Drosophila melanogaster: one gene and its partners. The protein of the gene in region 1 interacts with the protein of each later gene in a pairwise test. Each region holds a gene or a part of one and is shown on either strand. Other genes may lie near its edges. The genes, in order: CG13157, eIF4G2, CG13630 and msi.

Region 1 (8,362 bases):
TGTTACTTGAAGTTTTTGATAAATACGATCTATGCTTGCTCAGACGGCCAGAAGTACTTTTGATTTCAGCTGGAAAGGAAAGCTCTAAGCATCAGCATCTATGATGAGCAGCAGGGCGATGCTGCTGGTGCACTGGTGGTGAAGCGTAATGGTTCCTCAATTAACGCCGTGGAGATTGCGGATCATGTGGCAAAGAGACTTCCCTCCATTCAAAAGCAGCTCCATGCTGGTGTCCAGTTTACGGATAAACTACCAGCCAATCCCAATGGAAAGACACTTCGTCGGTTGGCGCGAGAGGATTTCAATGCGAAAAAGGGGTCTGTGAAATAAGATTTCAGTAACCCTCCTGGTAAAATTAAAAATTAACTTATAGTGTCAAATGAGAATTTTGCTGTACAAAATTGTTATATTGTAGATTAAAAACAAGAGAGAATGCTATAGTCCATTTCCCTGACTATCAGATACACCTTACTTGTCTGGAATAAATATATGGGAATTATATTAAAAGGTGTGCCTGGTTCTAGGACAATGATATTATTTATTTATTGCTTTTCTTTAATAGCCAACTTTAGCCATTTCATGATGTGATTTGCACAATAATAGGGTGTTGAAAAACTGAATAGTACTTAAAAAAATAATAAAATAATATTTAATAGTTTTTGCGACGAGAGGAATATATTTCAGTTTAGTAGGTGTGTTAAGCTGACTGTTTTAAATTAAAAGCGTCTTTCGAAACTGCTATAAATTGTAAAATTTGAGACTCAGTGATTTAGTGATTAGTGCGATATAACACAGTGAACGTGTTTACTTGAGCTTCCTTTCAACATTATCAAATCCAACTTTACAATGCTTATCAGCCAATATTCCGGTTTGAAGCTAATGCTTTTGATGGTTGGACTGGGAATGGCATCCTCGTATGAAATTATCAGACAATGTCCTGTACATTTCGTTTTCAAAAATAACTATTGCCAGTATCAGCCCATGTAGGGTTAAGAATTAATAACAAGAAATAAATAATTTCTGAACATTAAAGAATATTGGCTGTTTTAATAACAGCATTGCTTACTACTTTTCGAACTTTGTACTGATTAACAGGAAGGGCGCACTTATTGTCACTTTACAAGGACACTCTATTGCTCAGAGCCCGGCAGCCAACCCATAAATTTGAAAGTTCTTTCCCTTTTAAAACAATTTCACTTGGGTGAGAATGTGGCTGTCATAAATAAATGTAATCATAGTTTGGTTAGGCTTCTGGTAAGCTTAAAAATTAGTCTGGAATATATGTATATATTATACTAAAATCTAAAGCTGTTAAATATTTTCCCTACTTTCCGGTTCTAGGAGATTCTTTTTGCAAAGGTTTCTACAATTGATAATAATGTCGTTACTTTGATGCAATGCTGGCTTTCACAGTTAGGCATCATCTGATATGATCCAATCCAATAAATACATTATGTATATAAAAATAAATTTTGATTGATTCCATACACTCTGACGCTTGACTGATTAGATACGAACAATTCGTAGTAAGCATGATATGCATTCGATTAGATTCAATTTACTGCATTTTTGGATGGGTTATCTTTACACCTCGACTGGATGTCCTACCTAGTTATATAATTATTTCATTACAGTTCTACAACGAATAGTATTTTTCTATGAATGAAATTGTTAATCAAAAAATCCATAGAGATAAGGAATGCTTAAGAATTCATTATCTACATAAGTGCAGGTCGTTATCAGCTTTTGTTTACGCCTTCGACTAATCGACTAAAGGTAGGATACGAAAAAAGGTAGATTAGAGAGTTATTCTAAATTCATTGAAATATATGAAAAATATATTCTTCTTAGAGATAAACAAGTTGATGACCCATCAATTTCCACCCAAAATAAAAAAACAGCTGAAGTGAATTGTATGGGTTGGCTTAGGTTTAATTGTTAAGTAAGTGTAATTAGCGAATAGCCCCTGAGTTGTGTTAAGGTCAAGTGATACTAAATTTAAATACTATTTTCTCGCCGGAAGCTCCAAGCAATAACGAGGAGCACCGCGAGCGTGCCAAGTGATCTTTGCGGGGATCCGGCGCCGGAATCACTCGGTATAGCCACTTGGGTTGGCTGTATATCCATATCTGCATCTAGTATCTCCTGCTGCCTCGTCACCTGTTCTACCTGCGGACGAGCATGACCAGGACGTATCTCCACCTTGGGAAGGGGGAAGCAGTAGACCCTTTCGACCTCCACCAACTGGGGCACAATGCTGTCGGAGGAAAGCGAAGTTTCCGAGACGGTGAGAGGCACACATATGGTTGGCTCCTCAGAGGCATTTCGATCCTCGTAAGGAATGCCCACCCGGGTTATATTCAGCGGCACGGTCTCTGGAACACTCAGTTCGCTGTGCATCTGGGCGGAGTTTAGAGAATCCTCGTAGTACTTGTATTCGTCCACAGGATCAGAGACGCTCTCGTCGCGCCGGTCAATGCTCCCCTGAATGCTCCCATCTATCCTTTCGGTGCTCACCGTAAGGGATGTGCTATCGATGAAATCAGTGGGCCAATTCAATAGACCCGCAGTGGATCTAGTGGGCTGTGTGGGAACCGGTGGATGCACCACCGAGGATTGCATAAATCCTGGTACCACGGAGCTCGTTGCAGGTGGAGCTGGCATTGTGGTATCGTAAGGATACGGATACGGCAGGGGCAACCAGTTGTCGTCGGCGGAATTCTTGGAATTCCTTCGATTGTCCGTCGTCGTCTCCACGGACTCGTTGATCTGCTTGGATATTGCCTTCAATATGGGTTCCGAATCGTTGACCCTGGCCAACTCGAATTGTTGTGGCACCTGCTGAGTACTGATGCGCCGGCGTCCATATTTCTCTGCTGAACTTTCACGACTGACTGGTCGGGAATAGGCAGGATTCTGGTAGCCACCAGGGGCAATAGGAGCGGACAGCTCTTCGCTGGAACTTGATGGCTTGGCATCAATAGCTGCGGCATAGAAGTATTTGAGACATGAGCAAACAATTTCGAAACAGAGACCAAATTAAACGCTACATGAAGATCTTTTTAAAAAGATGTTTAGGTTTCAATATAGTTATCATTAATATAAATCAATAACATTAGAGATTAATAATTCAGGTTATTGAAAATATATTTAACCTATTAAATAAAAGACTAAGCAGACTTTAGTTTCATTAAATTCTAGCAGCGTTTGCTTGTTTTTAATGATACTTATATTAATAGGAAATTCACATTCGAAGTTGAATTCTTACCATCTGCCGGCAATCCCATGAGCATGGCTTCCAGGCGTCCGTAGACCCGCTCCTTGGGCTGCGGTTCCGAATCGATTTTCGTGTCCACCTTCTCGGGCCTCTCCGGATGCTCTGGCTTCCAGTTGCCGTACACCACCGCCTCCTGACTGGGCGTGGCCGGCAGGGGGGCGGTCTCCTCGCGCCACAGTGGAATGTGGGTGTGCACAGTGGAACTGATGGGGCCTGCAGCCGGCACAATTGGCCAGTTTCCCAATGCCTGAGCAGGTGCTCCGCCGACTGAAACGGGATTTTGCATATCCGCAATGCGTATACGCCCCCTGGGACGGGGAGGACCCTGCAGCTGCTGTGTGGCAATTAGCTGGCAGCCACTGAGGGCTATCAGCGACCACAGTAGACACTCTTTCCAATGACTAACCATATTTAAATTGAACACGTCTATCTTCTTTTTTTGCAGATGCTGTGCTACTTTTCAATTTTACAGTTCGTTTTTATAGGTTTATTGATTCATTCTCGTTTTCAGCAGCCACAATAACAATCTATTGTTTAATTTTTGGCTTCTGCTATTTTTTCTTTGACGTTGCTTCGATGTCAATGTAATATTCACATCTACAGTTCTTCACATCTTCACTTTTCTGTCGATCAACCACTTCACTTCCCCATTTCTTTTCACTCCCCACAAACAAATATTTGTATTATCGCTACCAGTTTTCGGTGTAACGCTCTTGCGAATTCGATCTTCAGCTTTCTTATAGATATTGTATATTGTAGAGGAAGTATCTCTTTTGCTGGCGATTTGCGATCTGCACGCGACGGCTTGTAAACGGCAACTGAGTTGGCCAAATCAATTCCAGCACCGCACAGGCCCACAAGAAAGATTCTTTCTAATCACGGGCCATAGAAATTTTCCTTTGTTCGGCTTCGTTATTATATGGTTTTTTTTTCGTCTTAATTATGCGCAAGAGCGTTGAAACTTAATGGCGAATAAACATTCTTCGGGGCCCCGCTTTCGGGGTCTGTTTCTACGGCGGTGGTGAAAATGCAGCGGATTTGATTTATATTCAGCTAGAAATAACCGCAGAGTATAGTCAGTGTGTTTACGTTATATGCAAATATGTTAGGTGGCCAAATCGTTTGCCGTTTTGTGGCCCAAAAGGTTATTCGGTTGTTTGTTCTTTCAACCTGATGACAGTGGTTTTTGGTTTCAATATTTGCGTAGCCAAGGGCTACTCCATTCGAAATGCCAAACGGTAAAGGTAGCCTACGTTAAATACAATAATTGGCAGAACGAAGAGGTTTCTCGGCGCGAAATCGGGGCTACGCCAGTAACCCATTCGTGGACCACTTCAACTGGCTTCCTCAGCCTTTCCACATGCAACGCCTGCCCGCGAAGACAAGTCGAATGGCACTGGAAAATCTGTCGTAATTATGCAACTGGCAACCAGTCGAGAGACTCCTCTCGAAAGAAAATTTCCATGGCGGCGATGTAGAAATATGGAAAATTGGAAAACCCAACCTGCATGGAATGGGATCAACAAACTAACGTAATTCGATCTGCGAAGTAAATAATAAAGCAACGAAAGATGCACGGTAAATGGGGAAATACTTTGAGAAAATAATGAGGACCCATAAACGCTTTGTCACGTTTGTCTGAACATCGTGGATATGGTCAGCTGTAAAACGGAAAAAAATAATGCCAGAAAATATGGTAAGTCCATCATCAAGTCGGTTCGGCATAATGGAAACGTTAGTTTACTTTTATTGTTTCAAAGCAGCGAAACTTTCACACTCGTTAATAAAATATTATTAATTTGATTGAGCGCCCCTGTCTGTTGGTTTTATGGTACTTAGTGGGAAATTCAAAAGTTATTAAACGATTATCATTCAGTGTGGTACAGCGATTTGGATTTGGAAGAGCTTGCAGAATGAAATCACAGTCTTGTTGTTGTTGATATAGAATGCGAAGAAGTTACGTTTCCAGGATCATCGGTTCGGTGGGGGAATGGAATGGGCGGAGCTCGTCTATTGGTTCTCCAGCAGACCGATGTACTGGCCATTCTGGTTGGCCACGCGTCGCTCCTCCAGTTTCCTCGCAAAGTCTGGATCTGTCTTGGCCCTCTGCTCCAGACGCTCCTGCTGCAGTTTAATGCCAGCGTAGATCTGATCCAAACCCTTCTGTATCTCCTCGGGAATAGCCGGCGGAGTAGGAATGTGATCACCTGTGGCCCTGAATCCATTCTCGTCGGCCGTGTACTGCACATTGACCAGAGTTCCCTCGGGGGATTGGTAGGAGTACTGGCCATGCTGAACCAACACCCCATTTGGATTGGTGTCGAAGTCCTTGAGGAAACCGGTTTCCTCATGAATGATGCTATTGCCCGTCTCGTATTCTGTCTTGTAGCTTCCATCGTCACTCTGCTCCTTGTTGTACTTGATTATGGGTATCCAGGTGCTGGTCTCTCTGTGATCTTCATGACGATGATGATCTGGTTTGTCATCGCGTGGTATGTTGTTCACATTTTGGTGCTGATGTTGATGGTGGTGTTGTCCTTGGCAGGAAATGGCCAACAGCACAAGAAGTATCTGAAAGGATAAATATTAGCTTAAGCTTACTAACACATGCAAGTCATTACGATTTCCAAACAAAGTAATCACAAAAAAGAATATTTAATCCTATCCTTTAGATGTAATGTAAACCAATAAATTTTATATTTGAGAAGATCGAACTGTTGCAATGTTTGCCAATCATTCATCGAGAATCACTTGACCGATTTTATGTGATTGGTTATGTGAACCACTTACGAGCACTTTCATTTCGCAAGGAGTCTCTGCCGCTTATCCACTGTATTCCACTGATTTGGCCCGCTTTGTCGCCCGTTTGGCTGGCACTGATCGCACTGGCTAGTGAAAGCAGCTCCGTTAGACACTGTGCCAAGCGCGGCCCTATTTTGGTCTTATATAGGCGATTCGCTCTGCTCCGACCCGATCCGATCCTCCTGTTGCACTCGTGTCCATACCCACACAGGTGAGCCTCCATGGGAGAGCGTGCATTTGCTATTTCTGCTGGTGATGGAGTTTCTAATGGAGATGAAGTTGCAGATGGATATGCAGTTGCAGTTGCCGATGAAGATGGGAGGGGATGGGAGTGGAAGTGGAATTTGCCATGGAAGCTCTTATTTTTTGTTAGCTGTCTGATCCGACCGATCGGTAATTGTTGTTCGTAGGCTCGACGACGCTTAAATGCTAAAATCGTAAAAAAAAAAACAATTCACTGTCGCTCTCGTTTGAGGCTTTTTCAGAGGCTGAGGCAGTATGATTTTAAAAGGAATCCAGAACTATGACAAACTATAAGGATAAAGCTAACATTCCATAATAATTTTGGATTAATAATTTGTGTTCGCCTTTTGTAAAATTTGATACCGTCATTATTATATAATGAAAAAAAAACGAAAAAATTGCAAATGCGCACACAGTAAAAAACAAATTATTTCTTTTCGCAAAGCAAAATCAGCTCTAAAAATGTTTAATTTTAATAGCTTCTGACCTTTTCCCTTTTTCTCATGCCCTAATCTTGGGATACTTTATTGAAATAACAAGTTCGTTTCCTAAGTCTTTTGTTTTAACGCAAGAAAATTCTTATGAAATGTTTTTTTTAAACATTTTATATTAAAAATATCTTATCTATTAAACTTTCTTATATATTACTTATTTATGAAGAGTCGTTTTGCCTTGTTAAGCCCCTTTTATACCGGCACCCATCTTAGCCCGGCTTATTGTCGCTGTTCGTATTTGGCCCGCTCGTAGGCCCGGCTCAAATGTCTGCGAAATGTCCGTCCCCCGCCAGCGCGTCCGGTCGTTCATCTTCGCAATGCCGTTATTTAGAAACATGCCAGAACGAGTTTTTTTTGCTTTGCTTTCGTTGTTGACTTGGCCAAAAGCGACAGTCGGCTCTCTCTCTCTCTCTCTCTTGCGACTGAATCGCATTTGAAGTGCATCCAAGATGCTGCTCCCTCGCGGCTTCGGTTTCGGATTCATTTTGAGATTCGCACTCGGACTTAGATTTGGATTCGCATTCTTGTAATTGCGGCAGTTTGGCGGACCCAATACCAACACCAGCGAAGCGCGAATTGTTGTAACAGCCAAAGTGCCTGGCAGATGAGGCAAGACGATAATTGAGTTCAAAGCGGGCCCGTGTCTTGGCAAATGTTAATTAGTTGCCAAACAATTGGGTTAATCTACAGTGCATTTTCGGCCAAAGATAACAAATAAACAAATATTAGGCGTTGTAAGAAATAAGAGAAAAATTCAATCATAGGAGACGATCAACTTGCAAGGGACAATATACAGCGAGTGCAACAACCGACGAAGTGCCGGCAATAAAGCCCGAAATGCTGCCAAACTCCAACGCCTATTGCGACAAACGACTCCTCCTCCCTCTGGGCCATCGTATTTTGGCCAACTCTTCGTCTTCCGCACCCACGACACCAAGTCAAACGCCCGCCAAGCCCCCGGTTTGCAATGTTGCTGCCGTGTGTGGTGATGTTGCTGCTGTTGCTGATGATGCATTGCAGGTTGTGCAACTCGTAGAGTTGCAGTTCCACGCACGGGCGAAAATGAAAATAAAAAACGAAAGCTGGGCAAGGTTAGCTTTCGAGTGCACCACCACAGATGCGCAAATGCTCACCATGAAACCGAACCCCCATCCCACTACCCACAACTGTGGCCCACTCACACATTGACCTGTTGCTGCCGGCATGGGGAAATTGCAGCATCTGCAAATGTCAAACGATTTCACCCTTACATTCTTAGCATTTGTCGTTCTTATGAACAACATTTGACATTTGGGTTCCGTTCCATTCCGTTCGGATTTGGCTTTATGGCAGAGAGCCAACTTGGCTAACAGAACCACGTTGCTGGCCATAAATATTCAGGCTGCTGCCGTGTCGGTTGTGAAATGAAATGCCTTGTCGATGCGGCCAATCTTGAGCTTGACTCGTAAATAATGCTCTAGTGGAGATTTTGAGCCAATCGTCAGCGGAACTTAACTTGACATAAAGATCACGTACCGCTGGTGTGACAAGTGGCCTGGCCATATAA
Region 2 (8,529 bases), on another chromosome or scaffold:
GTTGGCCTACAGGTCGTATGAGCAATGTTTAATTAAAGTGTCACATAGTAAACAGAAAGGAAATTATTGTGAAGCGCTGTGCAGTCAATAAAGTATAACTTGAGTTGATTTGTAAAACACCCAGGATTACTGAACAAACTCCACTTTTTTTTATTAAATGAATTGGAATGATTTGGAATAAAAATAGACCAGCATTCCCTGCTATTATTATGCGTCTTCTTTCCGATTCTGCAGTATTAATTGGTGACCTTTCCGCTCCTAATATGTGACCCCTCGCTGTCCGTTGGCACCCACACAGAGACACTTCGAAGGACACCCACGGGACACACGAATGGAGGATGGGTGCCACTCACTTACCTTGACAGACGTGGCATTGCAGGAGCACTGCAACAGCAGCAACAATAGCGAGCTGCGACCATGTGATGATGATGGGTAATCCGTGGGCAATCGGCGTGCTCGTCCTTGTCGATGGTTTTATTGTTGCTACTGCTGCTGATGGGGCTTCCGCTTGTCCCTGACGACGCGTTTTCCACGAGGTGGTTTCCCTGACCAACCTGCTCGCTTTCCTCCACATTTTCGGCTGGGCGATTGAAACAAAAGGCGGAATCAAAGCAAAAGTAATTTCGTTGGCTCCCAAATTTTTCCACTCGTATCGAACTTTTGGATGCCTCGACGGTTACCAGAATCCTGCGCTTGCGTGCGTGGGTGAGAATGCCCGGGGTTTTGGTTTTTCGGGCACAGGTGCTTCCAGGCCGGGGGTGGGGCTTAGGTGGGAGTTCGGAATTCCGCGCTTCGACCTTGTTTCAGATTAGGTTTTCTTAATTTTGGTGGGTTTCCTTTAAGCCAGCCAAAGAGCTTGGCGGCAAAGTGTAGTAATCCGTAGTCCTTGGCGAAGTCCTTGTTTCGAGGTCTCAAAGTGCTCTATATACACACATTGCTTCGCTATATATATACATTTATCTGTATGTACTGTCGGTTGGTTATTAATTTTCTGTTTACTTTTTGTATGTTTTAACTTGTAACTTATAGTTGCATAACATTTGCTTTTTGCATTTGCAAACAATGCAATTTACGAATACCGCACTTATGAATTTCTTTTAGAAATTTCTCTAATTATTGCACAATTTTCACATTAACATTTATGGTAGTCGAGCTTATACGCGATTTACTTTGAGTAAATCTTGTGTTTGGTTTTATTTTAATTGATTGTGTTAAATAAACGGTAAAAAAGAAACGAAAAAGTTTTATTTTGGGCTATGCCCATTCTCGTTTTAACGGGTTTTCAGTTCGCGCACTATTTTTATTCGTTTCTACATGGATGCCAAAATTATATGAGTAATATAAGAGTTGATTTCGTAACCGGCTCAGGTGCAGTAGTCGCAGTCGGTTGCAATTTCAGTTTGGTGCATTCTCTTCTTGTTGTGCAGAATTTTTCAGCGCCAAAGTGGAGGAAAGTGATGCGGGAAAAAAGCGTTACGCGCGTCAGGGCGAATCAAGCTTCGGACTTAGTGTGACCGCAGCGGGAGTAAAGGAATTCGCTTTTGGTGTGGCTGCACTCGCGTCCCCGAAAGATACCATGCGGTGCTGAAAGAAATACCAAATTAAATCATTATGGGTTCAAAATATACCAAAAAGCAGAGGCTTTTTTTTTAAGGGGGATTCAATTAATAAGTATACTTTTAAATAAATTAATAAGATGTAAGACGATATTATCTTTGAAAAATGTATAAAATTTAAATAAAACTTTAAAAATCGTATCTTTTTGATCCAAATTTCGGAAAGTGTTGCAATTTCATTTTCGAATTGTATTGTCAAAACCTGCCGCTCAGGTAGCGCACTCAGCGACCGTTATATTCAAAATGTTTGTGCTGAGAGCAAAATTATTGAAAAAAAGTAAGAGCCTCGTCCATTTACTCATCTGTTGTCCTCACACTATCTTTAGTGCAACCGCAAAGGCCACAAAAACATGACAGTACGCACAGGAAAACAAGCATTGCAAATGACTTCACAACTGAAATGGAAAAAAAAAAATGCAAAATACGGACAGTCCGTATGCGGTTTCGTTGTGCCAAGTTAAAATATTTGCATTTGCGGTCTAGTCTTTTTGCATTTTCAACCACCAAATAATCCCTTCAGACTCTGTTTGTGGGCTCTATGTGTATATAATTTTTTTAGGCTGCAATAAGGCTCCGAGTTCATTCTTGCACTCGTTTTACTTTAAAGTTTTGGCCATAGTGTATACTGAGATAAGGAGTAATAAGTAGAGAAGGGTATAGCATTGGAAAAACGGATACTAGAGGGAGGTGAGGGCGCAGAGTAAAGGATTATGTGGGAAGTGGAGGGCGTTGCGCATCCGGCAAAACAGAAAGAGCAAAACTTTTACTACAAGCGCGTAAACACTGCAATTTCTGCACGAGGGGTAGTCTAAGAGCATTAAGGGGAGGCAATCCGGAAGTTGCGAATGGAATGGAAACAGGATTCTGCGCATATGCTGTCCTACGAATGCGTAAATTATGAATATATCATTCAAATTAAAATGTAAAGTTAGAATAAACAATAATAACAGCGAAATATGTGTGGAATTTATATGATATTCTGCGTCATGCACCACAATGCGCATTATATAATAATTGTTATTATAACACCTGCATAAGGCCTATTTTTCTATTTCGAAAGAATGATTATTCTTATGATGAAGAACGTTCAAAATATTACGCGCCAAGCTTGAATCCAAGTTCTCCACCCCGGTTTGAGGACGCACTAAAATGTATAATATTCCTGCGGGATATTTCTGGAACTTTCACAATCGATATTCGCTGCGTAGACATCGATGCTGCCGCCATCGAGTTATGTTCCATCCCTACGTGCAACGGTCACTCTTATTTCATCAAACGAAACGGACGTGTTTCTGCAGACTATTTACATTACAAAATTGTTTGTAACAGATAGTGAGCCGTGTATACATAACGAGGTGAAGCAGACGATGCACTAATGTAAAGGCGCAGTGCCAGAGCAACTTTTTGGCGTGTTCCCCGCGTGGAACTGCATTTTTTTTTGTTTCCTTCCTCAGTTTTGTGTGTGGAGTGCGAGCGAGAGAGCGTGCTAGCGAGCAGGAGCAGAACGGTAAGTACTGGCGGCCAGACAGAGACAGAGAGAGCGCAAAAAAAGAGCGAACGGCAAAAAGTCAAAACGGTAAAAAAACATAAACCAACGCCTCGCCTTTTCGGGGAAAAGTATTACCTGAAAATCTGAAAAAGGTTAAAAACCTACAAAAAGTCCCCTTGCCATTAGTGTCAAATTACGAATTGGCACTTGGCTGCCCATTTCTCATTCTCAATCCGGGGCTGAGGCTGCTCAGCTGGACAAGGAGAGGGAATAAATTCGTAGCAGGCGCTGCTTTGGTGTTCATATTCATCATATTGTAATTTTGATTCCTCGCAATTGCAAAATTTAAGCATACGTTTTAACTTCCTCTAACGCCTTTAATTACAGAACAAATTACCGTGAAATTTTAGCACTAGCCGTACGTTATTTTGTATATTTGTACGCATGTACGTGTACGTGCCCCTCGTCCGTCTGCACAAATGCAGATGTGCATGTGCATCACAGTGAATTGGAGTATTTTTATACATGGAATATCTGAGCTATTGTAGTATTCCGGATAGAGCCAACAACCACAAAGACGAGGAGTTTCCACGAGAAATAGGAAAAAGGAACGGAGGAGCAAATAAGCAGCAGCAGGAGGAGGCGTAGAGCTTGACCAGGTGTCAAGGGAAGCCGGATAGGCTTAAAGGCAGGTCTACCTTAGGAACTAAGAAATAGGATAAATCGAATACCCTTATAATCATCACATCTACCAATCGAAGCACAGGAAGCGGTAAGTTTCGAAATCTGACTTACAACTTACTCCCATTCTAGTATTTGCTTGCTTTTTCACGCAATTTACATTAATTGTTTGTTTATTAGTTTAATAACACACTACTACTACTATAACACACTGCCTCCAGTACGAATGCACTCCCAATAAGCGATCGCGATCCCATTTAGAGCAGCACCCACACACTCCAACTGGTTTTGTTTACAAACAAACATGAAACAAGTGAGCCTATCTGCCAGCCAGGTTTTCGTTTTCCTCGCCATGGAGTGAAAAGAGCCATGCACGTACTTCGTCTGCTGGAAAACTGGTTTTCTTCTGGCTTGAAGGTGCTTGGCCGCAAACTGCAGCGGAGTTGGTTTTTCTAGGCCAGCAGAGAGCTCCAAAGAGAACACCACAGTGAATATTGGCCAATGTTTGTCTTCATATTCTTATCAATCAGCATTGAACGCTTGCTTAGCAAAACAACAATGAAATTCCGTTTGGTAGTATTATAACTAAAAGAAATCATATCGTAAACAGTTTTAAGTGATCTAGTTCTTGCGGTCTCCACTGTGCCGATGGAAGTGCTGACGGAATGCCAAACTGGTTGTAGCCATAAAGACGACAGCAGCCCATAGCTCACCTCCTACGCTCGCTGGCAGCTGCTTCTTTGTGGCTGCCTTTGTTTTGTTCCGCTTTAAGGCCAGTACTGACTAATAGCGCCACTTGTTACCGTGTGTCACCTATGTACAAGTATTTAGGCTGCGCAAGTGACTAGTCCATTGATAAAACCGGCGCGATAAGGTGTCGAGCCATCTTCGAAAGCATTTTGGATGTATACACGCCCCGCGAGTGACATCATACACCACATTCCAATTAAAGAGCTCAATTGATTGAAATATTAAAGAATAAAGAAAAGGGTAAAAGAGGGAGTGCATTTGTAAAATAGCCCTTAGTCATAAGATGTAAACACATAATTTGCATGATCATTTTTGGTTGCTTTTGCACACGTTTGATTTAACTCTCATTCGCATGTACTCACGGCTTTGACTGAAAACCTAATACGCCAAGCATTTTCCACATCGCCAACTCCATTTTCACTTTCATTTCCATCTTACTAACATTACGATTTGTACATCTGTTTTGCTCTGGCCGCGGTTTTCCTAACTCTCCGTGTGTGCCTGTGCGTGTGACGGTGCGATTGTATGCGTGTGCAGATCCTTCGAAGGTCCTCCTATGTTCCCTCAACAGGGAGGGGGTGGGAAGGGAACCAGGCCACAGTCGACACATCAGCAGAACCACAACCATCAAGCCCAGCATCACCAGGCGACGCACTCGCACCACCATCACCTCCAGCAACAGCAGGAGCAGCAGCAGTCCCACGCAGTGTTCGTCCCGAACCACAGCGGCCTGCACCACCACCAGCAGCAGCACTTACTGCAACAGCAGCAGCAGCAACACCAACAACAAGCAGCCGTCGCCGCCGCTCATCTTCAGCAACACATCCAACAGCAACAACAGCAGCAGGTGCAAGCCCAGGCCCAGGCGCACCACCAGCCGGTCATCTTCTACAATACCCAGCCGTCCTACGCCGCGCATTCCGCGGCGGTTAACAACAGTGCCAACGGCGGCGGCGCTACCCTCCAACTGAGCGCCGCCGCCAGTTCCAACACGTTGGGACATCCTCTTACTGGTGGTCACCATGGTGGAGCAAATGGCGTGGCGCCGGGGTCAAACATGCCTCGTGCCCTGAGCAACCCAACTCTACCACCCCACTTTCAACAATCAGCTGGCCTGATCGCACCTGCCGGCGGAAATGCGGGTGGACCCTACATTTCCGCCACCTATATACCAATTAATCAGACCGGACCTCTGATGGGCATGCAGCCAGCTGTGACCTTTCCCACTAACGGAGCGGCTGGAGCTTCATTCTATGCGGCTGCGCCACCTCCTCCACAACAGAAACAGCTTCCTCCCACTGCTCAACAACAAGGTCCAGGCGGGGCACCGGGAGCTGCTCAAACGCCGACACTAGCTTACTACCAACTTGGGCCGAACGCTCAAAACTCTGCTGGAAACAACGTGGTTAGTGGTGCCAATACACATCGCGGCAATATGCGCGGAGGGCAAAGATCTACTCCCACCGCCCAACATACCAACTACTTTACCGCATATACCATGGCCCCAGGAAATGCCCAACGTCCCGCTCCGACAAATGTGGCTCCAATGATGAACTCGCGCAGCGGTGCACTGAACGGAGCTGCTGCTTTTCATCATCTGCCGCACAACTTTGGCATTCCCAGTTTGGCATTGGGACCGCCCGCCGGGATGACGACCCCTATTTTGGCTCCGGCTGGAATGCAGGCGCCGCCACCCCAACCACCAGGCGGGCTGCACACATTTGCTCCGCACTTGCAGAGCAACAGCGCCACCACCTTACCTAGTGTCCCAAGTGTGACTGGAGTTCCCGCGGTGGCCAGTGGTTTTTCAACCACCTCGCTTCCAACTCCGTCAGTAACAACAGCACCGCAACTGGGGGCCAACAGCGATAAGGTATGCAAGCGCAAATACGCCATTCCCATCATCCATCCTGACACCATGGAGAATGTGATGGATGGATGGAAAAGATCGGTTTTTATAAAAAAGGACTCAAACTCGACACTAACACAGCACACAGATCTGGACACAGCTCTGGATGACAATAGTACCTTGTGCCTGTACCAGGCGCCCACTCTGATGGACTCTGGCTCGGGGTCATCGTTATTGTCTGGCGCAATGGTAGATCAGCAGATGCAGACTGTGAAGCCGGCGAGTTCCCTTAAGCAGTCCGTTTCCTTGGAAAAGGTGCCAGAAGCGGTGTACTGCAAAGACGCTGTCGGTCAGGACGTACACCCATCGCCTCCACCCAAATCAACGGATAAAGATCAGATCAGCGTAATTGTAAAAGACATACTAGCCCACTCGGGCAACGCAGAAGACCATCTAAGCTTCTGGCAATATAGTGACGGTGAGTTCATAAAAACGTCCAAATTTTCTTTAGAATTGTATTTGTAAACGAAGGGAAGCATCTCAATATCGTTGAAATGTTGAATTGAAGTTAGCCGGGCTTCAAGTGTCAAAGTCTAATGATTCCTCTTGCAGTGGACAATGTCACGGAGACCCACAATAGCCTGCCGCTAGTACAGTCGGACTTGCCCGATACAACCGATACGTGCCAGCAGCCAGTGCTTTTCCAAGAGCAAGCCAAAAAGCAACGTCCCAAATTGGCCAACAAACAAAGTATGTTCCGTGACAATTAATCCATTAACGTCGACTAAATTGTTTGCTCACAGGTACAGCTACGCCAGCATCCATAGCGAATGACGTAGCTGAGGCAGCAGCCAGCGGTTGCCCAGGCGTCTCCATCCTGTCCAGAGGCCAGTCGATGGTAACACCAGCTGGCCCCTCGACACCCCCGCCACCTTCGCGTGTCGCCCAGCAGAAGTCGACCAAGTCGATAGTTACCACAGCTGTAGCTGCGTCGGTTAAGCCAACAACGGGTTCACCCAACAGGAAGTCGAGTATTCAAGCCGCCACCTCGACTACGACCAGTTCGGGTGCCTCTTCGTCGACAGCCTCAACACCGACCCACGCATCTAGTAAGCTTAAACAGCAGCCTGTTAACAATCTGCAGCATGGAAAGCAGATTCCAGGAAAAGTATCAACTCCAGCATTACCACCGACTGCTTCACGAATCTCGGCCGCTGTTACCCTGCTTGCCGGCACCGCGAACATAACAACCACTACCAACTCGTCCAAGAAACAACGGCAGGCCCAAAAACGGGCCAGGGAGCTGGAGAAGAAAAAACAGAAATCCTCGATAACAAGCACTACAAGCACTCAAGGGCAGAACAACAATGGCAAGGGCAATGGTAATGGCAACGCCGCGCTAGAAATTAACACAAATAGCAACAATGCTGCCACAGTGACCACAACATCAATGAGCACACTGACCACAACAACCACGGCAACAGCACCCACAACCAAACAAGAAACGGCGGCTGTCGATGACAAGGAGACGGCGCAACCGACGACTGATACGCTTAGTGCAACTAGTAATAATACTAAAGTAAGTTCTATTCTAAGAGACAAAAAAACTATGCTCAATCCCAAGGAGCAATTGACAAGCCACAACAACAACAACAATAATAATAATGAGGATGGCATCGAAGCGAAGGTGGAAAGCGATCCTGAATGTAAGTACAAATTATTTAATTTACAAAAATTAGTCTTTTAAAATTAGTTACGACAAAGCATGGGAGCGTCCTATCTTTATACATACAGCTCTTCTAGTTGTTATTTTCTGTGCAATTCTTTTCATAGGAATTGAATTTCCTAAGAATTTATCTTATAAAACGATAACGATAGTCAAATAAAAACATTTTTTTTTTCAGCTGACATCAAAGACGACAGCATGTCGAACATTACCGGAGAGAAGTCGGAGAAGCATTTAGCCAACGAAGAGATTGTGGCCAAGTTCCTGCAGAAGGACAGCCCCGACACATCCGTTGTGCACGCGGAGACGCAACAGCTTCAATTCCTTAACAGTAGTAGCTCAGTTTGTGAGGAAGATGAGCCAGTTCCGGTGATCTCTGAAGGAGTGACCAAAACGGAGGAGAATGCTGAGGCCGAAA
Region 3 (7,709 bases), on another chromosome or scaffold:
GCGTCCACTGGTTTTCACCAACTGGCCACCGAAGAGCTCCAAGCAGCTGAGTCGTCCCGCCATTGGAGCTGGAGGTCCTGGATCCGCTGGAGCGCCTGGAAAGCAGCGCACGCTGGTCGTCCAAATACGCAGCGATCAACCGGTGCCCTTGGTACTGAAGGGTCGTCCTGGACATGGAGCGCACAGCCATGCCGCCCATCTGGCCCATCCGCATTCCGTGCATCCTGCACATGTCCTGTCGCACGCCCATTCACATGCCCATCTACACTCGCATCCGCTGATCCATGTGCCACATCAGTACCAGCATCAGCACCTACGCGGACCACCTCGTCCCATGAAGCTGAGTGGTCCGTCGCCCGTGTACCTGAAACCAGCTGGATCTCTAAGGAAACCACTGAAGATCAAACTGAACAATGTGAAGCCCAAGACGAAACCCACATTCGGATACGACAAGCCCTTTAAGTACGAGAAGCCCACTGCTGTGAGCTACAGCGAGCTGCAGAATCTGCCGGTAAGTGGAGTCCATTGAAAATGTCCTGCTCTTAAGATATCCTTATACTGCACATGCCCCCCACTCCCCTGAACATATAACATAACTCCATTCATGCTGATCCCCCACAGCTGGACACGCACAACAACTTCAACACCGAGCACTTTGCACCCATTTACACGGTACCCGCACCGAACCTGGCCGACAATCACCTGGACGTGGAGGAGGGTCATCTTGACACCTCCTACCTGTACAAGCCTCCTTCCCAGACCCAGATCCAAACACCATCCTCCTCAGCCCGTCCCCAGACATATTTGCCACCGAAGTACAGTGTGCATGAGGACGAGACCAATGACCAAACCATTCGTGATCCCATTTCGGGTTCGCAGAAACTCTTTGCCCCAGATCCGGATCCCTCGCTGCCCACCACCAAGATTCGCCCCGCCACCGAATCTTTCAATACGCCCAGCAACAACAAACCGCTGCCCGCCGACGTCCAGAGTAACCATCTGCCAGCCCAGCCATTGGTTCAGATTGTGGGAGCCCAGACGGCAGCCCAAACGGCGCCAGAGATCTATCCCATTCAGTATGCCCAGCCGGCGGTTCACTCCCAGTCCTTTATCGCCGCCATTCCGGCTGCCCACATTCCCATCTATAATCCCACCTACCTGGTGACGCAGTCCAACCAACTGTACTCGGCCCACAAGCAGCAGCTTTTCAAGCCCAGCTCGGAACCGGTGGTGGAAACGGGTTACGTGAACGCCGATCTCACCCAGGAGGTAGCCAGCAATGGACAGATACTGCAGGCAGCCAAGGATCCACATCACAACATCCATCCTGTACTTGATTCGGCGCCACAATATGCTGCTCTTATTGCCGCTCCGGCACTGGGTGATCCCAATGAGGGTGCCTACGAGACGGCCTCCTTCCACCTGCCCAATGTGGCGTCAGCGGTCACTGCCTCCGTTCCGGAAGGTGGCTTCGTGGTGTCCAACTTCTATGGCCATGCCCACGACTCTTCCCAATTGCTGCAGGCCTACGCAGAGGAGGAGGCACGTCGACAGCAACTGGAAACAGAGCAAGCCGCCATTGAGCTGCAAAAGCAGCAGCAGTTGCATCTGGAGGAGCTTAAGGCGCAGGCCCAGGAGCAACAGCAGCAGCATCAGCTGCATCTGGAGGAGCTGAGGGCTCAGGCGCAGTACCAGCAGCAGCAACAGCAGCAGTTCGAGGAACTGCAGGCACAGGCACAGGAGCAACACTTGCAGCAGCAACACCAGCAGCATCAGTTGCAGCTCTTGCAATTGCAGCAGCAGCAACAGCAGTTGCAGCAACCAGTGCAGCACCATCCGCCGCAGCAGCTGCAACAGCAGCAGCAGCAGCAGGTGGCTCAGGATCCAGCAGCAAGTGCATTCGAGGAGCACCAGCGATTGGTGCAGCAGCAACTTGGCGCCAACACGCCACTTCGCATCTTTGTGCCCGACGAGGAGGCCGCCGAATCGGTAGGTAAAATTAGACAAGAAATTCTTCCGTATGCTAACATTTGAGACTTTCCTTGTATAGCGACTGCAAAAGAGATCGGATGATGTGAAAAAGGGCACGGTGGAGGATGTGTCCAGTGCGGGTCGGAACGACGGCGACAGCGAGGAGTCAGCCAAAGATTTGTTCGAGGTATCCACCTCCGTCGAAGTGGCCGGCGAGCATCTCACGGCCAGCAGTAATTAGTTAACGCACTTTTAGTCTTCGACGCTGTTCAAAAATATTTATTTACACACTCATTTGTAAAAAACGCATTCATGTAGCGAGCAGTCGGTAGTTAATAAAAATAACCATTAATTTATTCAAATATTCGTTAGCGTTCTTTTTGAATGGATATAAGTTTTTGTGTTATCGATACATTGTAATGCTGGTGAGATAAAAATACAACTGCACTCTGGTCACACTCATGACAAGTAAAAACACATTTTACCAAAAACATTGTTGTGATTGCACATTTTTCGTGATTTAACTAAGAATTAGAGCCTGATCTACAAAATGATTATTCCAATCCGTTGTTTCACCTGCGGCAAGGTCATTGGCAACAAGTGGGAGTCGTATTTGGGTCTCCTGCAAGCGGAATACACCGAAGGGTAAGTCACGCGGGAAAGTCTCCTTTCCACGCCGCATTTCATCATATAATATATATATATTATATCTTACAATCCAATCCCAGAGATGCCCTGGATGCTTTGGGTCTAAAGAGGTACTGCTGCCGTCGCATGCTCCTGGGCCACGTGGATCTTATCGAAAAACTGCTCAACTATGCTCCTCTGGAGAAGTGAACGGCACAATGGAAACCATCCAAACTGGACTTGGGAATAAAAACTCTAGATTTTATTGTAAAATTACAAATTAAAGCTTGATCGATAGCCCTAGAAGTTATGTATTAGCCCAAGTTGGTCGACCCTCACATCTTGTCCATGAACCACGGCTGTCCGTTGTTCTCGCGACGCTTGGTGAGAATCTCGCATCCGGTTTCGTTGACCAGCAGTGTCTGCTCAAACTGGGCGGAGTACAGGCCATCGGCGGTCACAGCAGTCCAGTCATCTGGCCAGGTTTCAGCCTTCTGGACGCCAACGGAGATCATGGGCTCGATGGTGAAGCAGTGGCCAGGGGCCATTACTCCTACGGCAGAGTTTTCTGCAAAGTAAGGACATTAATAATATTCAAAGTACTTTTAGCCAGCTCGAAAACTTACTGGCATAGTGAGGCACATTGGGAGCTGTGTGGAAAACACGGTGAATGCCATGACCGCAATAGCTGCGCACCACGCTGAATCCATGTGGTGCCACATACTTTTGGATCACGTTGCCAATATCGCGATACTTTTCACCCGGACGCACGAACTCAATGGCCTTGCTGAGCGCCTCGTGGGTGACCTGCACCAGTTTCTTGTGCTTCTCCGAGACATTGCCCACAAAGAAGGTCTCGTTGAGATCACCATGGAAGCCGCGATGATAGACGGTCACATCGATGTTACATAGATCTCCATCCTGTAGAGGACGCTGATCGGGGATGCCGTGGCAAATCACCTCGTTGACCGATGTGCAACAGGACTTGGGGAAGTTGTAGTAGTTGAGGGGCGACGGATAGCACTCCCGTTCGATGGCGGCCTCGTGGACCAAACGATCCAGTTCGTCGGTGGTGATGCCCACCTCCACGGCTTTGGCACCCTCATCCAAGCATTCTCGACCCAATCTGCCGGCCACTCGCATGCCCTCGATCTCCTCGTCGTCCAGCACCTTAATCTTGGTGCCCCGCAGTGCTTCCTCCGAGAGTGAACGTCCTGCTGGATGATCGGCGTAATCTGGACGTTGTATGGCGTTCGGAACTGTTCGCTTGGGAGTCTGTGGGAACGGGCGGAGCTTGCCGGTGAAGCGGAAATGTGGCCATGGATTGTAGGCTCCATCCTGTTCGGCAGAGTTCGAGGCACCGGCTGAGTCAAGAGAATTATATGGTTTCATTGCAATCCAACTCATTAGGAACAAGACTTTCTAAAACTGACCTGCTAAAGCATGAATCGCCTTGTGCTCCTTCCAGAATCCTTTGAAGCACGGCTGCGAGCAGAAAAATGAGCCCTTGATGCCCAACTTTAGGCAGGTGGGACACTGCAGGGTCGCATCCTTGCCGCAGTTGGTTGTCTCGCACTTTTGAGTCATTCTATTTCAACAATTAATGCGAGAAAAATTTCCGTGCCTGCCAAAAATAGTTTAACACAGCGTGACCGCACCGATAACGATAGAAAATACCTGGAAGCTTTAAAATAAATACCTTTTTATACCATTATATGACAATATATAAGCAATATGGCTTTTTGGGAAATTTGCCTTACGCTTCAAGCAAAATCATAATTCTATTGGTTTGATATTAAATACTGTTTTCTGATTAAACATTAAAAAAGTTGATATTAAATAAATACCAAATCAATGTTTAAGAATGGCGCTACATCGATATCCGATGTTTTCCAAGCACCGATAGCCTGGGACCAGTTCTGTTCTTATCGATACGTTTGTGCCAGGGTTGTTCGTCGCCGGCTGTAACGGGCATTAGTTTAAAATTGGAAATAACTTGATAACCATTTTATGTGTATTTAACCATTTAAAATGTTACTATTATGGTAAGTGATTCGTAAATAGTATTCATATGATAATTAACATAAGAAAAGAGTTAATAAGGGCTTTCCTTACAAATGGTTTAAAATCGTTCGAAATTTGAAAGTAAACAAATTAAATATGTAAGTTCTTCGCGGAGATCTTTGATCTGGCTAAGGGACACTGGCCCCGTGAATTCGTGGCCTTTGTTTTCGTCCGTCGGGGCGGCAGTTCAAACGCAGCCGCCTGTTGGGCACTTTTCCGCAGTTGTTCTCGGCGCATGCTCTTGGTGGGAACAGTTTGGACTTGGACTCGGTTTATCTGTCTGCTCTGTTTATGTTCTCAAATCGCGAGCAACTTCGGTCGTGAACGGACGTGCTTTCGCTGTAAACTCGGAATCGGTGTCGCGAAACAAAAGAATATTGGCAACAAACTTGTTTGAGTCAAATGGCCAAACGCAAATATCCGCAAAGGGCAGCAGGATAAATTTATTGGCCAGTGAAGTGAGTGAGTGTCTTGTTTCGAATTGGTTTGGCCAAAAAAAAAAGAGGACCCCTTTAATATTTCTACCTGCAAGGGATGCTGAGATTTCGGCAGAGTTTCGCATCATTTGCGAGCGCAACTTAACTAACTCAACAAGTGAATTCAAGGGTTTTCGCTCCTCCAATTACTGATTTTGTCCTCGTGATCTTCGTACTCGATTGAAATTCGATTACGATCGTTTTGTGTGTGTGCATTGAAATCAGCGTTATCAGTGTCTGCCCTGATCTTTGGTTTTGCGTTGAACATGTTTATTATTATTCATTTCTCTGGTTTCCCGCGCCCAACGACAATAAGTTAAGTAAACACGCTGTTTTTGTTGAGGATGCTGCTGCTGCTGTCTGTTGTCGTTGCTGCTGTATATGTTGCTGCTGCATGTGTTACAGCTGTTTCCATAGTTGCTGTTGCTGCTGTCACATGTGTTGCTACTGTCTCTTGTGCTGCTGCTGTTTCCAAAGCGGCTGCTGATGTCAATGTTGCTGCTGCTATCGCGTATGTTGCTGCAACTTTTTTAGTTACCGCTGTTGCTGCAATCTCATATGTTGCTGCTGTTTCTATGGCTGAAGGTGTTGCTTCTTTGTTGCTGCTGTTGCTGCTGATAGGAGCGCAGCATTCGAATGGCTATAAATAAAAAACGGCACGCGGTGTGTGCAGCAGTGAGAATCCCCCGGCCCGTCTCCGCCGGATTTTCAGCACCACCAGCATCGCTTGATTATTATTGGTGGGTGTTCTGCGTTTTACGCGACCACACACAGGCACACTGCCACACACACACTATTATCTTCGCCGTGCGGTTTCCACTTTTCCGCTTTTCATTCCGTCGTTAAGACGCAGCACATATCTCGTCAATTGGCAATCTAAAGGCCGCCGGCATAATTAAAATAGAATCATTTCTGATTTCGCTTTGTGTCGCACAGACATGTGTGTCTTATTTTGTTTGTTTGTTTTTTCTTTTTTTTTTGCAATACGGAACAATTGCGAAAGTCAAGGTGGCCGCGAAAAGCCGCGAAATAGTAGGGAATTCCTATGCGATGGCAACGAACTCGATCTCTGTGTACCCAACTCATCTTGTCTGGCCTTTTATTGATTTATTTTTTCCCCGGCAGTCAGTCTACTCTTTTTTTATGTTCCCCTTTGTTTTGACCAACGATCCTCGATCTTCGACGGCAATTAAAGGCAGGCCAAAATGGTCCAGGAAGGCAGACATCAGCCTTAATTTGCTTTGGTTGCATTGCCTGCTCGTCTTCGGAACTTTTTCATATGCTGCGCAGTGCGTACTTTGTTTGTTTGTGTGCCAGCCGAATGGAAGCTGATGGAAATTTATGCGTAGAGAAAGGTGGAAGAATATGAAATGGAAAATATGAAATTTTTGAATTGAGTTTGTGGAGGAGTGGGGGGGGGGGGCTGGGGCGGTACACCTAACACTTCCGGTTGCCAGAATATCAACTTCCGGTGGCGTAGAATTGTTAGCGGGGAAATGCTTTGGCACAAAAGACGCATATTGATATTGTTGCCCAGGCTGCTTACGCTCCAATAAGCACACCCACACACACACATAGGCAGACATACAGACGGGAAGGTCCTTCGTCCTTGGGAGCCAGAAAACGCATTTCATTTTTGCTCCAGTGAGTTGGCCCTTGTCTGGCAAACGTTTTGTGGCAACTTGGCCATTAAGCATTTCGTGTTTAAGCAGCAGGATCTTTCCCTCGCCCTTCCCTCTCAGGACGAAGGACCAACAGGACAGTACAGCAAGGAATAAAAATTGCCCGCGTATGCATTTCTTAACAACATTTCTCCACCACCCTCCCCCTTCGCTCCCCAGCGACAACATTTCATTTCATATTTTGTGGCAGCAGCGCTTTGAATAGAATTCATTTGGATTCCCTTTCCCAGGACACCTCGTCCACTTCCTTTTGCCTTTGTCAGCCCCTGGGTTTCCGCATCCCACATCCCAGAACCCAGATCTTCCACATCCCTCATCTTCCTGGAACACGCACTTCAGACTGATAGCGCCTGCTTAACAAATTTCTGCTGTATTTTTCGGTTCTTGTTCTCCACTTTATTATATTCCGTCTTCTTCTTTTTTTGCCATGGCAATGGGGATTTTTCCGCATTTTTAGCTGTCGCAGCAGGGTAAAAATTAAAAGCGAATTAAGTTCGAGGAGCTGTGGAGGCATCTAAAAGGTATCTAAAAGGTGGACAGCCGAAGATAACTGCACTTGACGCCGGATAGACCACAGGCATTATTAAACCCCAAATTTACCTGCCAACCAGGCGGGGTGGCAAATCTGCAAAAGAGATTTGAGTTATTTTATGGATATTACTAAGTATTCTGTATCTGCTACAGCAGCCATGAATTGGGGGGCTTTTTGGAAAGGGTCTTTATTACACATAACAAAAAAATTTATAAAAATATAGGTCTCTATATTCTTCAAATGGCTCAATCATAGTTATTTACTATTAACTTGCGAAAAATACCCAAAAGTTCCTGTCCTTTTATACATCTTGCACGTTATTAGTTTGCTCGCTGAATTTTCTCAGTGTAAGATCCC
Region 4 (8,658 bases), on another chromosome or scaffold:
ACGGAAGCTTAGGGACTGTGTAGCTATTTTTTGCGATTTAAAATTTCCATAACTCTTATGGCAGCACTTTTGTTAAAGTAATATATTTTCTAAATATAACAAAGTATTTTAAAATCCGTATCTGGTAGAATTATACATATATTCTTGTATACGCAGTCTGTAGAGTAAATTTTTACGAGAAAGACTACCCAAATGATGGTGCATTTGCTCGATCAAAAGGCTTGACCACTGCAAAAACTGGACATGGTGGACAATTGGCCCACCCTTCATTGGTCTGCTGACAATGTCCTTGTCGTCCTGAGTGACCTGAGCAAAACCGAGCTGAACTGTCGCTGCCATCGACGACAGGTGTGCATGATTTATGAGATTTACATATCAGTCCGCTGGCCGATGAAGCGCGTTGATGCGGCGTCACCGCCAGGCGGACATCGGTGACAAGATACAGATATATATATAGATAGCTACGAAGGGGGGGGCAGCAAGTATGTTAGCCTTGTTCGCCAGAAATAGGCTAAAATGAAATGCAAATTTGTGCACTGATTGATGATATTACGCTTGTTAAGGTCAACACCCACACTTTGCCAAAGTTCCCCAACTACTTTCACACTTCTTCCTTTTTCATGGCTTTTCCCCATATGGCAAATGAATTTCAAAGAGACAGGGAATAAAAGGACAATGAAAAAAGTTGCATACTTTGGGGCTGTTGGGAAAAAGATACTTTTGTACTGCTACATTTCAGGCGGAAAACGGTTTGAAAGGCATTTTAAGTGCTCTACATTTAATATAAAATATATATATATTTAGAAAGAATTCAAAGAAATATAAAATCAAGTATATGCTTTCCTTATACTTTTTGATCACGAAGTTGTATACAATTTTGAATTACTGATGCGGCTAATATTTCTCGAGAGAAAAAATTCCACATGTAATCCGATTGTATAGAGATATTTTCGGAAAGATTTTGAAATCATCTAACGAACAACCCATTTCCAAAAATCCTGCATGTACGCCTCTTTCCCACGGATGCAACGTGCTCATTAACTAGACGTGGCATGCCTGGCAGACGACAGCATCTCGCCTGCCCCTCCGTATAATGCCGTCCGCCCCCATATCATGCAGCAACTGCCCCCTCTTAAATCTGCAGAAAATCAGCGGCAGGCAACATGTGTTCCTGATATTTTTATGGCATTGGATACATACAGTCGGGTTCTCAGTTTCTCGATGGCAAAAGCAGGAGAAGCCTAAGCTGCCTAATTGTTATGTGCACAATTCGCAAGCAACGGGCATAAACAGCACTGTGATTTGCCGACCTACAAGACCATGCCACGCACACCAAGGACACCAAGGACCATATAGGACCAAAGACCATGGCAGAGTCATAAAATTTTCATCTGGCAGTAGTTTTAACGACTCAAATCGGACTTAAGGGCTCACCGAGGACATTAATCTCGGCGAGGAATGAGGAAGAATGGGTCCTCACTGAAATTTGCTAGCGTAAGCATTAATGAAATTGTTGTCATCCTCGTATGACTAAGCACTTAAGAAGTGTTCATAAGTGTTCATAACTATATAAAATTAAGGAATATTCTAGTATTTAAAAAAGGTAACTGTAATGGCTAAGGCATGAGTATATAGGTATTTGTAAAATAATTAATTGCCTAAAAACTTATACCCATTAATATTCACTAATAATTCTTGCATAAAAGCTGCATATATTTCTTCTATTGAGCCCTAAATCTCTGAAAGCGCTTTTTAATTTTATGGCTGTTTCATTATTAGGCCAATAACCGACGTTGCCCGCTGCTGGTTAACACCCTGCTCCTCTGCCCCTTAACCCCAGAAGGCCCCACGTGTTCGATTTTACTGCCGGCCAAGGGTTTCACTCCTTTCTGCTGATCAATAAAACGGAAGCTAAATCAATTAGCCAATGGCGGGGTAGTGGGAAACTTCTTGGCACTTTCATGAACTTCTGGCCGGTAATTAAAATCCACCCACAAATACCAATCTGTACTGGAACAGATTTCACTAATTACTTTTATGACCCAAATTTGCTGAATGCGCAGTTTGCTATAAATTTCTACCTTTGAGCGGTAATAAACTCTGGGAACATCAGTTGCAGACTAGATATTGCCATTGATATAGATCAATGGCTTATTTTGTCCTGTTGTCCTGTATTCCTGAATGGATCTTGGGGTCTTTGGGCAATCTACATCTATTAAAAAGTGTGGTAACTGTCAATAATCTAAAATGTATGGTATTAAAATATTTCAGTTGTTATAATTGTTGTATAATTGTTTTTAATTCTAAATTCCAATAACTTATTCTAAAATCTTTTATAATGAATTAAGAGGTATCTCTTAGTCCAGAAGACGTATGACGACTTTTTCTAAGAACATTTTCTTTTTATTCGTTTCAGTCACTTCTCTCGCCATTTCCGAACTAATCGAAGACGCTTTCTGGCAGAATTTATTGCTGCTTCGGCGGGGGCGTGGCAGGCGGTGGGCGGTTAAGATGTAGACGAAATGGAGGCGTGGCAGGGGCAAAAACTGCTCCTTTGACCTGTCTGCCTCAGTCACTGTTGTTGCTGTTGCTATTGTTATATATTTCTCCTTCTTTATCGCCCGAAGCTCTGCAAACAAGTTTCTTGTGTCCCGACAAAAAAGGAACCAACATGAAAAAATGGACCAAACAAAATAAGGGAAAATATATTACAGAAAAAAACTCTTTTTCGCCGTCAGCTGCTCGATTGCAGAAAACTCGTTGCGCTTGTTGCGCGTTTTGTTGTGAATTATAAAGAAAATAAAAAAAGGAGCAAATTTCATGAAATCTTGCTTAGGAATGGGTAGGCCTTTGATGTTTTTAGGCCGTCTAATAAGCCGCTGAAATTATTGTTTTAGATTTTTTTCTTCTGATTTGGGAGCGCCCGTCTGCGATTTTGCAAAAAATTTGTGTAAATTTTGAATTTTGCGGGGGCGTGCCGACATTTGGTAATTGCGGTGGGTGCAACAGGCGACAAAAACGCTATAAAATAAGCTATAAACTGGGATTAAGTCGTTGTTTAACAATCATATAAAAATGGTAAAGGTAAAATAATAATAAAGTGTGTGTTAAATAAAAATTACAATATTACAAGCATTTCCTTCAAATTAATTAAATTAAATTTTTTATTGCACTTAAGCAACAATTTTAAAGTACCGAAAAATACCAAGTAAATACCAAATGATGCTCATTTTCATTTCCCCACTGAAAAAGCCACAGCAACAACACTACGTCGCAGCATACGGGACCGGAAGTTAGAGAGCGCTCGAGTGCGAACGGGACAACAGTATGAGTCCCAAAAGTTGTTGCTGTCTCCCCAAATGGCGTTTTTTGAGCGACTTCGCCGCAAACAACAACGCGCTCTCAGTTTATGGGAGAGAGAGTTTGCTTGTTTTTGTTCCTTCGCTGGTGGTGTGGTGGGGGCGAGTGAACCGCTTATGTTGTGGGTGGTTGTTGCCATCGCATCGCAAGAGAGAGAACGATTCCGCTCTCCTTTTGGATTACCCTGTACTTCAGAAATTCCCAGAGTATATTGCGTTTGCAGAGTATTATTTTAAAATATATTTTATATTATATCTATTTTTTAAATAAAATTCCTAAAGTAATTTTTTAAATTATATTTATCATTGGGAAGTTAAGCTTAGTGTATCTAAAACTTATTGTATCTAAAAACCGGGTATCTGCAAGTTGGAAAACTCGACCACTTGTTTTATTTTATTATGCTTGCCGCAAACGACAAACAACCGAGAGAGATAGATCGACAAAGAGAGGAAGAGGTATAAAAAGCGAGAGGCGGTGAGAGAACTTTTCCGCGGGGGCCGCTTGTACTTGTATCTGTATCTTTCGGACTCAGTTTGCCTGCGACCGTTACAACAGCCAGTTGATTCGAAGCGGAGCGATTCGTGGATTCGTTTTCATCGTGTCGTCGTCGTTTTGTCGTTGATTTCCGTTTGTGCATGCAGATAAAGCCAGGTCTTAACTTGATTCTGGACTGGGCCGAAAATCGAAATCGAAACCGAAGTGGGCTAATGGAAAATAAACAAACAAACAAAGCTTGAATTTTGTTTGCCGCGCATTTAAAGTAATTCCTATTTGTCGCCCCTAGAAAATACAATAATAAGAAAATCTGTTTCTGACATGTTGCATGACTGAATTAAATTACGTGTTAAATTGTTAAGCTAAATGAACAAACCGCATCCATAAAACGGATGCCAGTGCATGCAAATTAATTAAAAATACGATTCGAAATCTCTCTACACATGCATGCACAACCCATCAAGCTTTATTCAAATCAATGACTTGAGCGGCTAAATAAAATATGTATTTCATGGCTATTAAGATTATAAACAAAATTTATCATTAAATCTAAAATCAACTTTCATGGTTTATTAACTAATGATATGTTTAACTAATGAATGCCAAAACATAAAGCAATTTAATTCGCTATGACTAAGAGACCGATAATCCATACAAAAGACGAGTTCAAGATATGTGTGTATAAATAATATAAAACAATGAACTCTCAGCTCGAGATAAAAAGCCCAGTAATTTGACTAAATAAAACATGTGTAATTAAATAAGTGCTTTACTAATAAATTGATACAAAATTCAATTCAAATGGATTAAATTTATATCAAATTTCGATTCGAGATTGGTGAACATTTGTGCACTGGAGAAAACCATCAATTTTTAAAACAGAAAAATCCATTATCAAACTACAAGCTGTGGTTAATGTTTACTGTGGTTGTTGTCGGTGACTAGCTCAGTTTTATCAACAACAACAATTTTGCGTTTCAGTTTTGTGTATTTCTCAACGAGTTGTGTACGATAAGAACTGAAAGGAGACCTAAGATTTGAAGAAAATCAGAAATGGCTCTAGGGAACTAACGATAATGAAATATTTTACTACAATTTAACAAATTGTCGTTATTTAAAAGAAATAAACACGCATAAGCCCGTGTACAGTTCAAAATCCCATGGAATATGTGACAATTAAATTAATTAAGCTTAAACAACAGATACGATAACTGAACACTTTCCAACCGAAATAAATTTGATTTGTAAATTTCACATAAATCAAAGCGAAATAGCTGGCAATCCTTCCCTTCAACTGAATTAAACAATTACTCTTTGTTTCTCAGTTTTAAGCATTCAAAATCAACAAAATGCGTCAGCTGCGAGCTGAGCTTTAAAAGAAATACGAGCTGAGCAAACAATATAAGATAAACACAGAAAGTCAAGTACAGTCAGTGCTCCAATTTTGTAACCCACAAATATATTTTAGGATTTTCCCAATAAAGTAAAGTGCAAATTGTTTAAAACGACAGCTCAAAAATAAGTCATGGTTTTTTTTTCGAAATATAAATAAAATAGTTTCTGTTCTTTACACTTTAATGACAGTAAGTTAGAGCCTATAAATAACAATTACTTGGAAATACTGAATTTAGTTGCATACATGCTACAAAGTAAGCTCTTAATTGTTTTTTTTTTATCATATTTTTCGACGTTTATAAGAATACGTATTTTATGAAAATCTGCAAAGTTGCTTAAAAAACCTTCAACATTTCCATGTTTGAAGGATAGATAATGGAGTTATCGTTGAGGGTGTTCCACTATTCCAGAGCTCACTTTAAATTGGGGGGAGAACAAAGCGGGCTATAAAGACGCTCGTTCGGCGACTCAGTGTGCTGGCTATATGCGACTATATGGCTATATTGTAGGCCTATTGTCTGGGGAAACTGCATGGAACTGCATATCGGAAATGATTATGGGGGGAGTACCAGCTTGATGACGGTAGAGGCGCGATAAAAGACACACAAAAGGGGGGAGAAAAAAAAAGGTTGGTACGTCATTAACTGACTCAGCCGCATGTTGCATCCAAGCTTTTTTTGTTGCTCCTTTTTCTGCTCAGTATTCACGTCCTGCAGAGAGAGTCCCAAAATCCAGAGAGAGAGCGTGGAGAGCGAGCGGAGAGGGAGAGCGGCAGAGCTTCAGCGCAGCACGGCGAAATTCGCTGAGCTCGCCTTAAACAGTTCGCAGCCGCTCCTTCACCGTTAGTTAAAAAAAATTCCTTGCCCGAAGCGGAAGGATTGTCGAATTTCGTGGATTTTTGCGAATATTTCCCGTGTAATTTTCGTCACGCGTCGTTTATTTGCACCAGCGAGTGTGTGTGAGTGTGTGTATAACGTACTGGTGTGTGTGCGTGTAAGTGACTCAACTCGAAGACATTTTTGTTTCTTTTGTCGAGGGACGCTTCTTTGGTTTTTTATTTCTCTTTCACATATTCGCATATTCTTTTGCGGCGAATTCAATGACGTCGCAGAAATTTGTTTTTATGCCATGAATTTATGTTTCTGTATGCGTGTGCATGTGTTTTTGTTCAAGCAAATCGATTAAATTTATGAAAAATTAATACGAAAACCGGCAGCGAACTATACAAAAACTATGCAAGCGATCCAAGACTCAAATGTTTTTAATTAAAAGCCGTGTGTGAAATATTATCAAACCGCAACGGCAAAAACAACAATATTTTATCACCATTTTGAGAGCGGCACGCACGTGTGTGAGTTCTTGAGTGTTAGTGTGTGTGTGTGTGCAGTGGCGTGTGTGTATGTGTCGAAAAAGCCGGCAATGGCAAAAGAGAATTCAGAATTCAGCATTGAAAGGCGAGAAGCAAAAGGCAAAAGCGAATGCCAAACAGCGAAAGTAAAAGCGTAAAGCCAAAACAAAGAAATGCCAAAGAAAACCCAGAAAGCCAAAAAAAATTGTTAAAATTAATAAACAATAATGCAAATCAATGTTATGGGAAATGGAAAAGCGCTTCAGATACAAATATCAATGAAAACACAAATATTGACAAATACATTTAATGTAAACATTAAAAAGTTGCATGACTATATACTTTTACTAATAAAATAACATAATGCATTCTTAGAAAAAATCCATAAAACATGTTATAACAATAGTTTAATAATACTTAATTTTTTTTCTAGAAAATCTGAAACCTTGCCATCTAATATTGGTGGTATTAAAATGAGTATTACCTAAGAAAAACAAAAATAATTCAGTGCGGTTATAAAATACATAATATTTAACAAAATAGTTGCAAAAAGTCAACAGAAAAGTGCAAAAAGAAAAAAATCTCAAGAAAAACAAAGTATTTGGTGCGACCTAAAGTGATTTTCTCAGCGTGTGTCTTTGGGATAAGCGAAAAACCAGCAAAATTTACTGCTTTGGAAACTCCGCTCTCAACATAAGCACCAACAACAACACCATCAACCCCCCCGGCGGCAGCAGCACCCACCTCCAGATTCAGCACCACCAGGCTCAGCACCACCCCCAAAACAGTGCGAGAATGCTGTTCGAGAATCCGGCGGTTGCGGCCAAGTTGCCCTTTCCGTACAACGTGCCCCCGCCCCTGCAGGCGGCGGCGGCAGCAGCGGCGGCTGTCCCAAATCTAAGGTGAGTTTTCCACTTTCCACGACGGAAAAGCCTGAGATATTACACTGAAAACTAATTGTCACTTATCTTTGATATGAGATTAGATGAAATTGGTTGTATACATTCTTATATGTATGCAGAGTCCGTAAAGTCAGCTTGCTTCATTTCGAGTCTTTGCTGCATACTTTTAGGCGCAACAATACGGATATATAAACAGTTATCTTTATAAAGCCCTTAGGATTATTTAAGAAAAAGTAGATTAATATATATCTTAAATTGTTTCAGTATTTTTGGTTCTGCCTTTGTGAAAGATTAAAAGTTTCTAGAAAACGATACAATCTACTAAGATTTTTTCTACGTGTAGCTGAAAAGTAAGAACTCTGCGCGTCTCAAGGCCATTAAAGGCGTTAATGCGCTTTGAGGTTTTTACTCTCTGTTATTTTTTTTCGCCCAGTTTTTTCCCAACTTTTGCCTCAGTGGCATATTTATGAAAATTGTTTTGCTCTTTGCTTCTTTTTAAATTTTTCATCAGGCACTCAGCCTCCGTTTGAAACGCTGGTAAATTTTCCAACCTATAATTTCACTAAGTTGCTGTCCGTAAATTGCATTCATTTATTATAAGAGATTGAGGCAAATATTTATATTGGGAATGTTAATATCGCTCATTTTGGTCTGTACTGGGCTTCTTATTACAGTTAACAAATCAAGAAAAAGTGTCAATATTTTAGAACAGTTTTAAATAACCTAAAATAATTATAAATAGCTTAGTTACAGTTATTAAGCCTATGCTCATTATGCGAACTTATTGTCCTTACTTTCAAGTCCTTCACAAATAAATTAAAATTAATGAATTGCATTCCACTCCAGAATGTCCGCGATATTTTTCCATTATGAGTCACTGTCAAGTTTTGTAAATTTGTATTTTTTTCGTAATTTTCCTGAGCCCGGTAATAAATGATTGTAGGCTTGGGCGTTTTTATTAATGCCCTGCTTTGGCCCTAAGTGACGTTTTTAATGAACCATTTCGTGGCACAAAAATGAGAGTAAACGGTTTTAAAAAGAGCCTTGCTGGTAAAAGCGAACTTTACTGGCACAAAAAATTAAAGCCGACATTCAGGTTCGTCAAAGTCATTGGAACTTGCTTTACTTTTGATATTAAAAACGATCGTCTGGCGCCAG

Evidence for each region.
Region 2: the proteins of CG13157 (region 1) and eIF4G2 interact in a two-hybrid assay, tested with the Drosophila melanogaster proteins (one large-scale study listed by BioGRID).
Region 3: the proteins of CG13157 (region 1) and CG13630 interact in a two-hybrid assay, tested with the Drosophila melanogaster proteins (one large-scale study listed by BioGRID).
Region 4: the proteins of CG13157 (region 1) and msi interact in a two-hybrid assay, tested with the Drosophila melanogaster proteins (one large-scale study listed by BioGRID).

Annotation. Positions count from the first base shown.
Region 1 is NT_033778.4:12,411,779-12,420,140, reverse strand, and holds CG13157 (uncharacterized protein), read right to left. Parts: upstream 4,098-8,362; 5' UTR 3,687-4,097; coding exon 3,269-3,686; intron 2,985-3,268; coding exon 1,999-2,984; 3' UTR 1,910-1,998; downstream 1-1,909. Other genes in the region: CG42782 (uncharacterized protein), read left to right, coding at 847-987; Cpr49Ah (cuticular protein 49Ah), read right to left, coding at 5,288-5,848, 6,068-6,079.
Region 2 is NT_033777.3:23,813,575-23,822,103, reverse strand, and holds the start of eIF4G2 (eukaryotic translation initiation factor 4G2), read left to right. Parts: upstream 1-2,866; 5' UTR 2,867-3,123; intron 3,124-3,284; exon of another isoform or gene 3,285-3,492; 5' UTR 3,493-3,877; intron 3,878-5,073; 5' UTR 5,074-5,092; coding exon 5,093-6,863; intron 6,864-6,997; coding exon 6,998-7,135; intron 7,136-7,188; coding exon 7,189-8,091; intron 8,092-8,289; coding exon 8,290-8,529. Other genes in the region: CG34355 (uncharacterized protein), read right to left, coding at 358-574.
Region 3 is NT_033777.3:24,715,097-24,722,805, forward strand, and holds CG13630 (uncharacterized protein), read right to left. Parts: upstream 4,269-7,709; 5' UTR 4,186-4,268; coding exon 4,032-4,185; intron 3,963-4,031; coding exon 3,225-3,962; intron 3,167-3,224; coding exon 2,934-3,166; 3' UTR 2,841-2,933; downstream 1-2,840. Other genes in the region: CG13627 (uncharacterized protein), read left to right, coding at 1-511, 622-1,989, 2,051-2,212; Polr2L (RNA polymerase II, I and III subunit L), read left to right, coding at 2,522-2,616, 2,700-2,808.
Region 4 is NT_033777.3:25,512,230-25,520,887, forward strand, and holds the start of msi (musashi), read left to right. Parts: upstream 1-3,888; 5' UTR 3,889-4,120; intron 4,121-6,093; exon of another isoform or gene 6,094-6,243; intron 6,244-7,031; 5' UTR 7,032-7,393; coding exon 7,394-7,500; intron 7,501-8,658.